Linked DNA regions of Bombyx mori. The protein of the gene in region 1 interacts with the protein of each later gene in a pairwise test. Links are inferred from orthologs where the notes say so. Each region holds a gene or a part of one and is shown in the gene's direction. Other genes may lie near its edges.

The links.
Region 2: the proteins of Golgi phosphoprotein 3 homolog sauron (region 1) and Tctp interact in binary tests that used the Drosophila melanogaster proteins (3 or more experiments, as listed by UniProt). The link is inferred for Bombyx mori from reciprocal best matches to the Drosophila melanogaster genes sau and Tctp.

What each region holds. Positions count from the first base shown.
Region 1 is NC_085111.1:10,440,947-10,444,904, forward strand, and holds the start of Golgi phosphoprotein 3 homolog sauron, read left to right. Parts: upstream 1-1,158; 5' UTR 1,159-1,480; coding exon 1,481-1,666; intron 1,667-1,756; coding exon 1,757-1,904; intron 1,905-2,842; coding exon 2,843-2,941; intron 2,942-3,635; coding exon 3,636-3,811; intron 3,812-3,958. UniProt on the Drosophila melanogaster protein: Phosphatidylinositol-4-phosphate-binding protein that links Golgi membranes to the cytoskeleton and may participate in the tensile force required for vesicle budding from the Golgi.
Region 2 is NC_085110.1:16,151,701-16,160,346, forward strand, and holds Tctp (translationally-controlled tumor protein homolog), read left to right. Parts: upstream 1-3,348; 5' UTR 3,349-3,423; coding exon 3,424-3,451; intron 3,452-3,655; coding exon 3,656-3,914; intron 3,915-5,266; coding exon 5,267-5,498; 3' UTR 5,499-5,676; downstream 5,677-8,646. Other genes in the region: zinc finger protein 271, read right to left, coding at 160-294. UniProt on the Drosophila melanogaster protein: Involved in calcium binding and microtubule stabilization.

The sequences.
Region 1 (3,958 bases):
TTTTGGATTTCAATGATCATGATCGAATTTTGATCATTGGTAAAAAATATACAGACGAACCACAAAGTGATCTTATCTTTTTTCTGTACTTTGCGCCTGGTCAAAAATTTGTACTTTATCGACATGTTTAACCTCGGCTAAACTGGGTGTAACTGGGTCGCGACTTCTAAACACCAGATATAGCTTAAGTACGTTTGCGTACATGCAGAAGATGGTGTCAGAATTTCAAAAATTTGGATATCGGGGACTGTGTTACGATCTCTGAATTTATAAACTGCATCGCTTAATGTAAGTTACGAAAGTCTCTGCAGATTCTCTGAGGAATTAGCCGAGATTAAATTAATCTATTCACATGAAACTACATCAAATATATTCTCCAATAAACTATAGTATGAGATTATTTCTTCCACATAATCGGTCTTTCATCAAAATAGATATCTTGGGGAGAGATAAAATGTTTCTTAAACTATTAAGCATTTATTTTTAGTAACGAAGCATCACCTTTTTAGTGCAATATATTATTATGTGAAAACAGGTTATTATATCCTTCTACAATATATTTCGTAATCTAACCATTTCATCCAATGCAACACCATCACAGTCCCACACCTCCTGTCAAATCAAGTTCTTCTATCTGATGATAGTTTCTGTGACTACTGGGGTTTTAACGTGAAATTAATTTTAGATTCCGGAAAAGGAATCTGCTAGAATATCCAAAGAAGACAGCAGGCGCTGCGATGCATAGTAAGTGGCACAACTGTCTTTTAATTGTCCGTACTGTCGTTAATACTGAAGAACCTGATCACGATAATGGGAAAATTTTATTAATTTACTCTATTGCCATCGATTCTCGATAACTATACGAATTTAAATTAAATCCAAAGCTTTAAACTGAGTGAAAGTCACTTTCAAAGATACATATGTACACACCAAGCACATAAAAACTCGTTAAAATAATACCTCTCTGTGGGGTTTGTACAACAGTATAGTAGCATCACTCTGAACCCTTTAGGAAGCTTTAGGTATTGAAGATTTGAAAGTAAATTCAATGTAAATTACAATAAAGTAAAATAAGTCGCAGCCCAAGTACTCAGCTTGGTACTCGACTTCTTTGGATACTCGAGATTGTACTCAATTTCTGGCTATCCGAGTTGAGTTCTTTCTTAGTATTGTAGCTTGCAAGTGCAGTATACAAATACATGAAAATTTCTAAAAGGTATTCAAATTCATTTAATTCGACACATTGCTAGTAAATCAATCAATCGAAATGATTTGAATAATATTTGCAAAGATGCATAAAATTACACACTGAATGGTTCTGGTGAAAAGGAACGTATAGTCGGCCATGTTTTCGACAACAACATCACGTCGCAACGTAAACGTCAACTTGACCATTCATTTACAATTTTTCGATATAAATATAGTTCTTTCTTGTGAAATTAATTAGTTTTAGCATTTTAAAATATAACTTAATGAGAATATGAACCGTACTGAGGGTTTAGTGCAACGAAGAAATGTTATAAAGGAGAGTAACACAGACGGACAGAAAGAAAATCACGACAACGATGATAAGAAAAATGATAAAAATTATGATGACGGAGATTCCAAGGAAACTAAATTGACATTAATGGAAGAAGTGTTACTGTTAGGGTTAAAGGATAAAGAGGTGAATATTTACATGACTAACTGATCTGATAAATACAATGGCATTCCAGCAGTCTAAAGATCGTGACATGCTCATCTTCTACCGTTTCAGGGTTATACATCATTTTGGAATGACTGCATATCCAGTGGTCTAAGAGGATGCATTCTAATTGAACTGGGCTTAAGAGGACGACTTGAACTGGAGCGAGCTGGAATGCGTAGGAAAGGCTTGTTGTCTAGAAAAGTGATTGTAAAGTCAGGTAGGTGACTACTGCTCAAGTTTAATTAACAAACCCATATATCTGTTTTAAAAGTGACGATAAAATTTTGAATATTCTAAAGTACTCATTAACAACTGATCAACACTGAAGCTAAAGGTACTATTAATGCTAAATTGATTAAAGCTATATTTTCTCACATAGAATATCCTTTTTGTTCCAGAAAATGCATTTCTTTAACCTAGTATAAATATAGTAAAAAAGTTGACAATTTAATTTTCTTTCATCCAAATTACAAATATTGAAATTTGAAAATTGTCTGAAAAATTAATCACTACATCCTAAGTTTTGTTTACATAATATATTTTCTAGAAATTAAAATTTATAAGCTATAAGACTTAGACTAAATAGCAACCACATAACATCAAATGAGCCATAAGGATGTTGAGTAGTCCTCAATGTTTAAAAAAAAATTGTAATCTTTCACACTTACACAACCTCAAAACCATCTATTATTCTTAGTATATGGTGAGCAGATAATGATGAACTAACAGGGGATTTTTTGTGACAGACGAAAATAAACAATCTTACTAATTATTTAAAAAAACAAGCTATCAATAATTAACTATAAAAGAACTAAAGTATCAGCTTGAATTGAAATTAATTTTGATAACATTTAAAAAATACATTAGCAAACATTATTTTATTGATAAAATATTTTCGTAGAAATAGTCAATATTTAATTTTCTTTTATATTTAGAAGCAAATTATTTAAAAATAATAATAATAATTAATAATAATAATTTATTTATTAACCTTGATACATTTACACATAATAATTTATAATGGTTCTTGAAACTTGTTGTGCAAGATACTCTAAAGCAATTTCAAATTCTAATAAGCAAACAAAATTAATTATTTCACTATCAACAAGCTCTTCTTAAATTACATTGTAACAAAATAAAATAAAAACATTTTAGATACTTTAACCGGTGATGTTCTGCTAGATGAAGCTCTGAAACATATGAAAGATACTGACCCTCCAGAAACAGTACAAAGCTGGATTGAATATCTGAGTGGTATGTAAATATTTATGATTTCAAATGTTACAGTTGTGCAACAAATATGACATTTACCAAGAGCTTAGAGTTTATGTGTTGTGAAAATTAAGTTATGCAATTTTATCAGGAATTGTAACTTTGTGTTTTGGAGGGCAATAGATCCAATTTCACAGTTTTTGAGAATTGGAAATAAGTATGTTATAATCTTGAGAAAAAACTATGGTTTATGTTAGTCAATATTTCTAAGAGATTTTAGCTCTAGGCAGGTTTAGAAACTTGGCAGTAGATTTTAGTATAATACCAATAAGTGGTTAAATTAAATGTTGAATAGATTAAAACTCCTAAAAATTATTCAAAATAAAACAATAAATCTTTTTAAATAGAATAACAGATTTAATTTTATTTTACAACAAATTGGCTTGGCGCAATTGCTTTCCAAGGCAAGGATATTTACTAGGGTTTGCCTACTGATCAAAATTCAAGCATAATTTCTGGCACCTTAACATCTCTTCTGCCAGAAGCTGGAATGGCACCTTAGGCTACCAGCGAATAGGTGGGGAAAAGTGTTTAAATTCTTATATATTACATTTATTTGCTTTATTATCAATAGCCACCTCATAAAAGAAATTATACTTCACTGTTTGGCCGTGGCCTATTTATATGAAAATATATGGAAATGAGTTTTAAAGATGTAGATGGACAATATTTTTAGGTGAAACATGGAATCCAATGAAACTGAAATACCAGTTAAAGAACGTACGCGAAAGATTGGCTAAAAATCTGGTTGAGAAAGGGGTTTTAACAACAGAAAAACAAAATTTTCTTTTATTTGACATGACGACACACCCTCTCACAGATAATGTCGTTAAGTGCCGTTTAGTTAAAAAGGTAAGTCAAATAATAATGTTTTGATATTTAGTTATTTAAAACCCTTTATTATTAAAACCAGCTACTTCAATACACACCTGCCAATTAACAACAGTAAAGCTGATTGTTTATAAATAATTTGCAATAATAATGTCGTTACCATTAAGG
Region 2 (8,646 bases), on another chromosome or scaffold:
TTGCAAATTAAATCGAATAAATGTTATGGTTTTTTAAAAATACTTTCGAGTTTAAAATGTTCATTAATTTTTGTACACTTTTAATATAGTAGCTAAATCGAAGGTCAGCTATTTTACTTTGACACTAGGTCAATACAATTTAAGAGTAAATGCAATTACCTTTATCGGTAAATACGTGTTAACAATTTCACTCAAGCTTGTATTATTATCTTCAAGTACATATAACACGGTGCCGTTATCATTTTCTTCACCACATAATCTACAAACAGTCGAATTATAAAGAAAAACTTCCATAGTTTCCTTTGGAATGGGTGGAACTGCGCCATCTATATCCGATCCATCAACTTCAAGCGATTTCAACTTTCCATTTACCTACCAATAATATTCGAGTGTCAAGTTAGAAGTTGGCCTATGTCAAAGTCAGTGAATTGCGCGATCAAATATTTTTTAGCATTAATTAATGCCTTTGAAAATAGTATATCCATTTAGGAATCTTTTGATGTACCTAATGCTAAAATATATTTTTTATATTTACCACGTACTAACATACTGTCTACAACGCCTTCAGTGCTTAATCTGAGAATTCGTTGAATAAGACGAATAAATCAAACAACTGAGATTGTGGAAAACACAATTTAGCGTTTTTGGTGAATTTGTCTACTTAATTACCGGTAGCCTCGAGGGTTATTCTGCGTCTTGATATGATACGTGGCAATTTTACGGGTCTGAGCCTGAGAAAACTTGCTAACATGCGTTAGTTTATTAAGGTTGAAGCTGTGGGTTAAATAGCAAGTCGAACTCTTTCGCATTCAACGAGTTCGACAAGAACCGCGACTGATACTTAGAATGCTTAGAAGTAGGTACTGAGAATGGTTCCAAAATGCCGAGTATTGCCGAGCTTATCGTTAGTATTTCCCTGTCGTCTGGTTCGGGTATATAATTTCATTCAAGCAATCACGATTTGATAGTTTTCGTATTGCGCCGCTTTCTCGAAGCGTTCTGACGCTGTCTTCATAAACAGTCAGCGGCACGGAATATGGCCCAAGCCTAAGCAGACCGATAACGGGCGATTTTTGTATCGCGTATGAGAATTTCGAGTGGCAGTTTATCTTAACCATTTTTTTTGTTAATTTTGAGAGTAAGCACTTAAAAATGTCCATTTGTTTCATTTCTGTGACACTTGACGTTAGTTCGTTAGTGAAACGCACAAAAGACGGGTCAGTTAAAATTCGATATTCCAATAGTCTTGCATTTAATCTTTAATGTTTAATTTTTTTATCAATCGGTAGTAATTTATGCTTCTAGAATTGGAAAACAATGACCCTAACACCTGCTCAAGTTGTTCAGGCTGTGTTACTTCGAAATCAGGGGCGAACGCAGCGAGAAATTGCTGAAACTTTAAATGTATCGCGTACAGCTCTCAGGTACGCCGTAACAAGGTACGACCAGACCGGTCTATACACAAGGAGACCAGGTAGTGGTGGTATTAGGTGTACATCAGAGCGAGATGACCGATTTATCACTCTCGCAATTTTGTGAAATCGGTTCCTTACTGCAGTCGAAATTCGGCAGCGGCTACAAATTTCAAGAGGAATCAACGTAAGTGAGCGAACAATAAGAAGGAGAATGGAGGAACGAAATCTACGTGTTCGAAGACCAGCTCGTGGTCCGAATTGCTCCGACACCATCGCGTAGCTCGACTACGGTTCGCTCGTGAACACGCGCAGTGGACTCACGAGCAGTGGAGTAAAGTTCAGTGGACTGACGAATGCCGAGTAGCCTTAAGAGCTCCAGACGGACGCGAACGTGTGTGGAGAAGTCATGGGGAGAGGTTTCTGCCAATCACTACCAGGCAAACCGTCAGTTTCCACGGTGGGTCCGTTATGGTTTGGGGAGGTATCTCTTCAGACACACGCACAGAGTTGGTAGTTGTTGAAGGTCGTCTAACAGCAGTGCGATACATTGAAGAGATCCTTCAGGAACATGTTTTACCATTCGTGGGATTCATCGGGGGCGAAGATTTCATCCGCATGCAAGATAATGCCCGACCTCACACAGCACGTTGCGTCGATGATTACCTGTCGGAGGTGAGCATCAGAAAATTTGAGTGGCCAGCACGAAGTCCAGACATGAATCCCATAGAACATGTCTGGGATATACTTAAAAGGCGAATTCGATCCAGTCCCAACCCTCCAGAGACCATCAGTCAGTGGAAAACCGCCCTAGTGGCCGCCTGGGAAGAAATACCCCAGTAAACATTATCCATAGCATGCCTGATCGTATGCAGGCGGTTATCAGGGCCAGACGTGGAAATACCCGTTATTAATTTTAAGTAACATACCCTAATTTTGTAAAAAGAAAATCAAAAGATTTTTAAACATAGAGCTGTAATGACCTTTTTGTAATTAACACAAATTTTAACAAATTTAACTCGCTTTTAGTTAATTAATCACTTTCATTTAAGTTCCAAATAAAGATTTAATTTTTACCACAAAAAAAGAACCTTGTCTCGCGTTTCATTTTGATAATAATTACAGCACTAGAGCGCATTATGCGGCATAATGCTCAACGTTGAATGTTCCAATTACAGCAACGCTTCGCACAATCGAGCACTTTCAAAAGTACTGTTCTCGCGTGATACTCGCAATCGATACCAACTCAGTAACAGACCTCAGTGAAGTGTAAACCTTTATTGCTGAAAAAATTTAAGGCTTTCGTTTCGTCGTAGTTTCTTGGAAATAATCAAAGTTAATTCCAACTGTGCTAAAAAAATAAATATAAGTATGGATGAAGGTACAAATAATTACTTTTTTTTATATTCCGCATTTAAAATGTGAATACAATTTCATTTTAGAATTCGAATCTGTAAACAAATTTATTTTACAAGAATACACTTTTGTAAACATTGCAATGGCTTGATCGAATCATCATCATGAACTTAGCGCACTCTGCTGATGCATTTGAAAACTAATTCACGTTCCAATTAAGCTTCAGCATATTTCGGCATTGTGTGCCACTGAGTCGCATTATGCATTATGCTCTGTAATTGGAAAACTACCAATAAACCTAAATCAGTAGGTAATATTTAAATTGTCCAGATTGTGCATCAAATTGTAACAACTTTTGTAAGTAGAATTTTTCAGTCTACTTAGGAGCCCATAGACTTTTTTTTTCCTACCTAAGCTGATAGCCTTGAGAGGCTATTTCAGCGGACTTTAGAATGGTACTTAATATAACTTTTTAGTTTACTGTGAGCTTTGTCGATAGATTACTATGTTACACAACCATAGATTACAAACAATATTCGACAGTCTTGTTTCATTGCTTTCTTTCACATGTCAAATGTCCTTTCCGGTTTAGTTGTTGAGGCGAGAAGCCGTTCTTTCGGTTTTTATTATTTTTAATCGCCTCCAATCCATCAAAATGAAGATCTATAAGGACATTATCACTGGTAATCATATTTTCTACGAAATGCTGCTTTTAATTTTGGTAATATTTTGTGATTTCGTGTTTAAAATAAATAATATTGATAACTGATGATTTTGACATTTGACTAGACTTATTAATTTCAGAAACCTAACTAATTTGCCACATCGACATGAGATCCTCTAAATTATCAAAAGTGAAAATTAAAAGTACGGTTTTCTCATTTCAGGTGATGAGATGTTCTCTGACACTTACAAAATGAAATTGGTCGATGAAGTTATTTACGAAGTGACCGGTAGGTTGGTGACGAGAGCACAGGGTGATATCCAGATCGAGGGTTTTAATCCTTCGGCTGAAGAGGCTGACGAGGGCACGGACTCGGCCGTCGAGAGCGGAGTTGACATAGTCCTGAACCACAGGCTAGTCGAAACATACGCCTTCGGTGACAAGAAATCCTACACATTGTACCTCAAAGACTATATGAAAAAGTGAGTGCTGTGTATATTTTATACTTAAAAACGTATTAAATTCGTTGTGCACACTGCGTTTCATGTAAAAAGAGTTTATAAGGAGTGAAAACCTTGTAAAGATTCAATGAATTTAAGGTCACGCAGACGACGCCTGGCTTACGACTTTTCAAAGTTACTGCATGGTTATGACTCAGCTCATCATCAATAATGCTTGATGACAATGCTAATAACATCCTACATAACAGCTTACAAATTATTCATTGTGGTAATGAAAATAATTGAATGTGTAATATACATGACAATGACATTGAAATCAGCTTATCATTGAAGATTAGATACTTATGAGGCTGATGTTTGCTTTTGTTTACGGATTTTCAATTTGTAGCTTAAATCACATTTTGGTTTAGTTTATGGCTAGTTATGTTTGCAAGAAGCATAATGGTGATTGTAAATCAACAAGGTGATTATATTTTACACTGACGTTTGAAAATCATTCAAACCATTGTGATTAAGTATAGTTCATTCAAATGGCTTTGTTATAAAATAATATTAAAGGGTTTTAAAACTTTGATTCAAAAACACAACAATGGTCATTAGTTCTGGATTTTTAGATCATGAGAAATGTATTTCAATATTCATAAATTTTTTATTATTCAATTTATTTATGTTACTATTTTACCCCTATAGTAAGTCACTAAGTATAGGTAGGTGTAAGAAAATCGTGAAAGTAAATTTTTGTGAGTTTATTTTTTATGATTGTTGATAATTAAAAAAATACTAACTATTTAGATACTAAATTAAAAATAGTTATTACTATATAATTATTTATTGCAGCTGATATATAAGGTTAAGTTTAAAAAAAGGGATCTTGTCTGTTTCCCTTTGAGTATTTGAAAAAGAATGGAAGAAATGTTAACTGCCTTATATAAACAGTAGCTTTGTATTACATGTATACCTATATTTGCAAATATAAGTTTTTTCATTTTCACAAGACAATTTAGTGCAAATTTATTTTTAAATTCATTATGGTGAAAAAATGCTAAAAGGCAGTAATAATAGTAAATCCCCACATTTATCTTTTAAGTCTGTTCAAAAGCTAAAGGGCATCAACCATGCCAGGCAGGCAGAGACAAAGGTTGGATTATTTGATGTGCATGCTTAATATAATAGCATCATCTAATACCAAAAGTGAAATTTTCAATGTTCACTTATGGAGCTTTTGATGCAAAAGTAATAGAACCCTAATGAAAAAACATTCATTTTTATAATGTTTGTTCATGAAATAGAGATGACAAATAACTATTTACTGGTGTCAATATTTTTTGATTGTATTTTTACAACTTAATGATGTAATTTTTTTATTATTTCAGATTAGTAGCAAAATTGGAAGAGAAGGCGCCTGACCAAGTTGAAGTATTTAAAACAAACATGAACAAAGTAATGAAAGACATCCTCGGCAGGTTTAAGGAACTTCAGTTCTTTACTGGGGAGTCTATGGATTGTGATGGCATGGTTGCCATGATGGAATATAGAGACTTTGATGGTACGCAAATACCAATCATGATGTTTTTCAAACATGGTCTAGAAGAAGAGAAATTCTAAATGTTAGATAAGAAATAACTCAATAATTCCAAACTGGCGCCTTGATACTTTTGTTTTTTTATTTATTTATCAATCATGTCCGCATCCTGGCAGGAACTGGCTTCTCTCATCACAAGGCTGAACAATTTTGTATTTAAAAAAATATACTGCATACAACAATAAAATAATTAACATCATATAAATTTGTTTTTTGTTTGTTTTATCAAACATATGCTGGAATATATAAATATTTTTCTTCATCTACTTCTGGTTAGATAGGCCTCACAGGTGATCAGGTCATCTTATGTCGTCCCTTTCTTGGTAAGCTCGCCTCCTCTCCGCTCTTCTAGCTTACTTCCCTAGCTTGGTGAACATAAATTTCACATAATATAATATGTTTTACTATCTTATCGCTTTTGTTATATTTTATACCAGGTAGGCATGACATAAGACAATGCAAGTTTGTGGTTTGGCCTTGTTTTTCGAGCAGTTGAGAAAGTACTACTAAGTGACTTCTGATACCATGACCATTAATGCTGGCGTTCCACAAGGTGCGGTGCTCTCCTCCACACTTTTAATCGAATTTCGAATCGTCGATAATCCCATTCTCACGGATCGTTTGGAACCTCTGGGTCTGCGGAGGGACTTCGGTTCCCTCTGTATTTTGTACCGCATGTTCCATGGGGAGTGCTCTGAGGAATTGTTCGAGATGATACCAACGTCTCGTTTTTACCATCGCACCGCCCGCCACCGGAGTAGAGTTCATCAGTACTACCTGGAGCCACTGCGATCATCCACAGTGCGTTTCCAGAGGTATTTTTTGCCACGTAACATCCGGCTATGGAATGAGCTCCCCTCCACGGTGTTTCCTGAGCGCTATGACGTGTCCTTTAAAAGAGGCTTGTGGAGAGTATTAAGCGGTAGGCAGCGGCTTGGCTCTGCCCCTGGCATTGTTGAAGTCCATGGGCGACGGTAACCACTCACCATCAGGTGGGCCGTGTATGCTCATCTGCCTACAAGGGCAATAAAGAAAAAATTAGAAATTCATCATTTAAGTAATAACATTAAAAATGATATTGGTGGACTTGTCATATATTACAGGGCTAGGTAGCCGTTGATTTATCGAGGTTAGAACTAAGTAGGTGCTATCTTAGTACTTATATAAAAAGGGAGCTAATTAACTAATTAAGGTGTCGCCATAGTAGCACGTGGAAAGATTTAAAAAACAACACCAATTACCACACTTCATCTGTATTCTTAATGCACTGCCAGCACTCAAAGATGTGACGTCAATTTAATATACTGCGATGTCGTTCCTTTACATTAGCTAAAATGGTTAAAACGGAACGCAGTACTACAGTATATTGTCATTGACGGTTTTTAGCGTTGTTTTTACTTGAACAGAAAATTAAGGTTTAAATTTAGTTATATTTAAGAATTGAATATTCAAGTTATTATCAGTTTAATTGATCGCTTAATAAAAATTGTATATTTTATAGTAAAAGAAAATATTGTTTTCAAACAATTTAATGCACAATAACTTAACTTAATAACTCGGTTATTAAAATAGGGATACCGTTAATGTGATAACGTGTTCGAAGTACTGAGAGCACCTAACTTCGAAAACACGTGTTCACAGTAGGAAAAATATGATGCCATATATCTCCCTATACTGTCAGTCCATAACTGAATGAATTTCTCCTCTTTTTTTTTTTTTTTTTTTTTGAAGTGAAACTTCCTTATCGGCGTTGGAAAAAAATTTACCGTCACATTTTTCGGTTACGCGTCACATTTTTCCGTTACGCGCCATCTGTTTTGTATTCATGTCTATGATAATAAAATCCTTTTGTTTAAACTTTATCTAATTTAACTTTTTTGTATTCATGTCTATGATAATAAAATCCTTTTGTTTAAACTTTATCTAATTTAACTTTATTTGCCTGGCGTCGTGGCGTCGATGCTTGGCAGCGATGAGTCATGGAAGGCTATGCTCGACTTCTGCGAGTGCACCATCTCGCAGAAGGAGGCGGCGGGGCGAGTGAGGGAAAGCTCTCCTCACTACGCAGAAACCCGCCGCCGCCGAGCAGGGGGTCGGGACCGGGGTCGTATCCGTGACCTGGCCCCCTAAGAGCTAGGGGTCCCACCCGTTTTGTGCGGGGAGGGACCCAGACGAGGGGTGGCGTGCTCTGCACGCTCACCCGCAATAGGAAGCCGGGTGATGGTAGACCGCGTTCCCCCGACCGCTCTGGGGGAAGGTGTAACGCGGCGCCATCAAAGCGGGCTCTCGGCCCGCTGAACGAGGGAACCGGTGGTCGTTTCGCTGGCGGCCACCGGTCCGGCGTCCGTGGGACGGTGGGATGGATGTAATGTGCTCTGCGTCAACCCTGTCCCGCCGTTTCAATAGCCCCGACTGGGCTCTGGCCCGGTCCGAGGTAGGGCGCCGGTTGTGAGCGGCAGGAGTTTTTAGTGAGGTTCAACTCCCACATACCCCACCTGCCGCGCGGGTGGGGATCCGGCGATTTTCTCCTGTGGAAAAAAAAAAAAAAAAAAAAAAAAAATTTAACTTTATTTAACCAATTTCTAGAAAGTTGCATGTAGATCATTTTTCGAAAAATAAGGCCATAAATAAGTTTCACTTCTTACGTGTGTACACTAGTACACGCACACATTTTTGAAGTGAAACTTCCTTATCGGCGTTGGAAAAAAATTTACCGTCACATTTTTCGGTTACGCGTCACATTTTTCCGTTACGCGCCATCTGTTTTGTATTCATGTCTATGATAATAAAATCCTTTTGTTTAAACTTTATCTAATTTAACTTTTTTGTATTCATGTCTATGATAATAAAATCCTTTTGTTTAAACTTTATCTAATTTAACTTTATTTAACCAATTTCTAGAAAGTTGCATGTAGATCATTTTTCGAAAAATAAGGCCATAAACAAGTTTCACTTCTTACGTGTGTACACTAGTACACGCACACATTTTTTTTTTTTTAGTTAAACTCCTTTAAGCGCTTTGAGAGTAAATTTCAACTCTCGACAGATTTGTGACGGTTAGAGAGAAAAGATAAAATTTAAGAAAAGCGAGAGTGAGAAAATAGACCGTCTCGGGAACTACTTGACCATGGAGAGTGGGAAACGACAAACTGGGTTAGGTAGTTTCCCTTA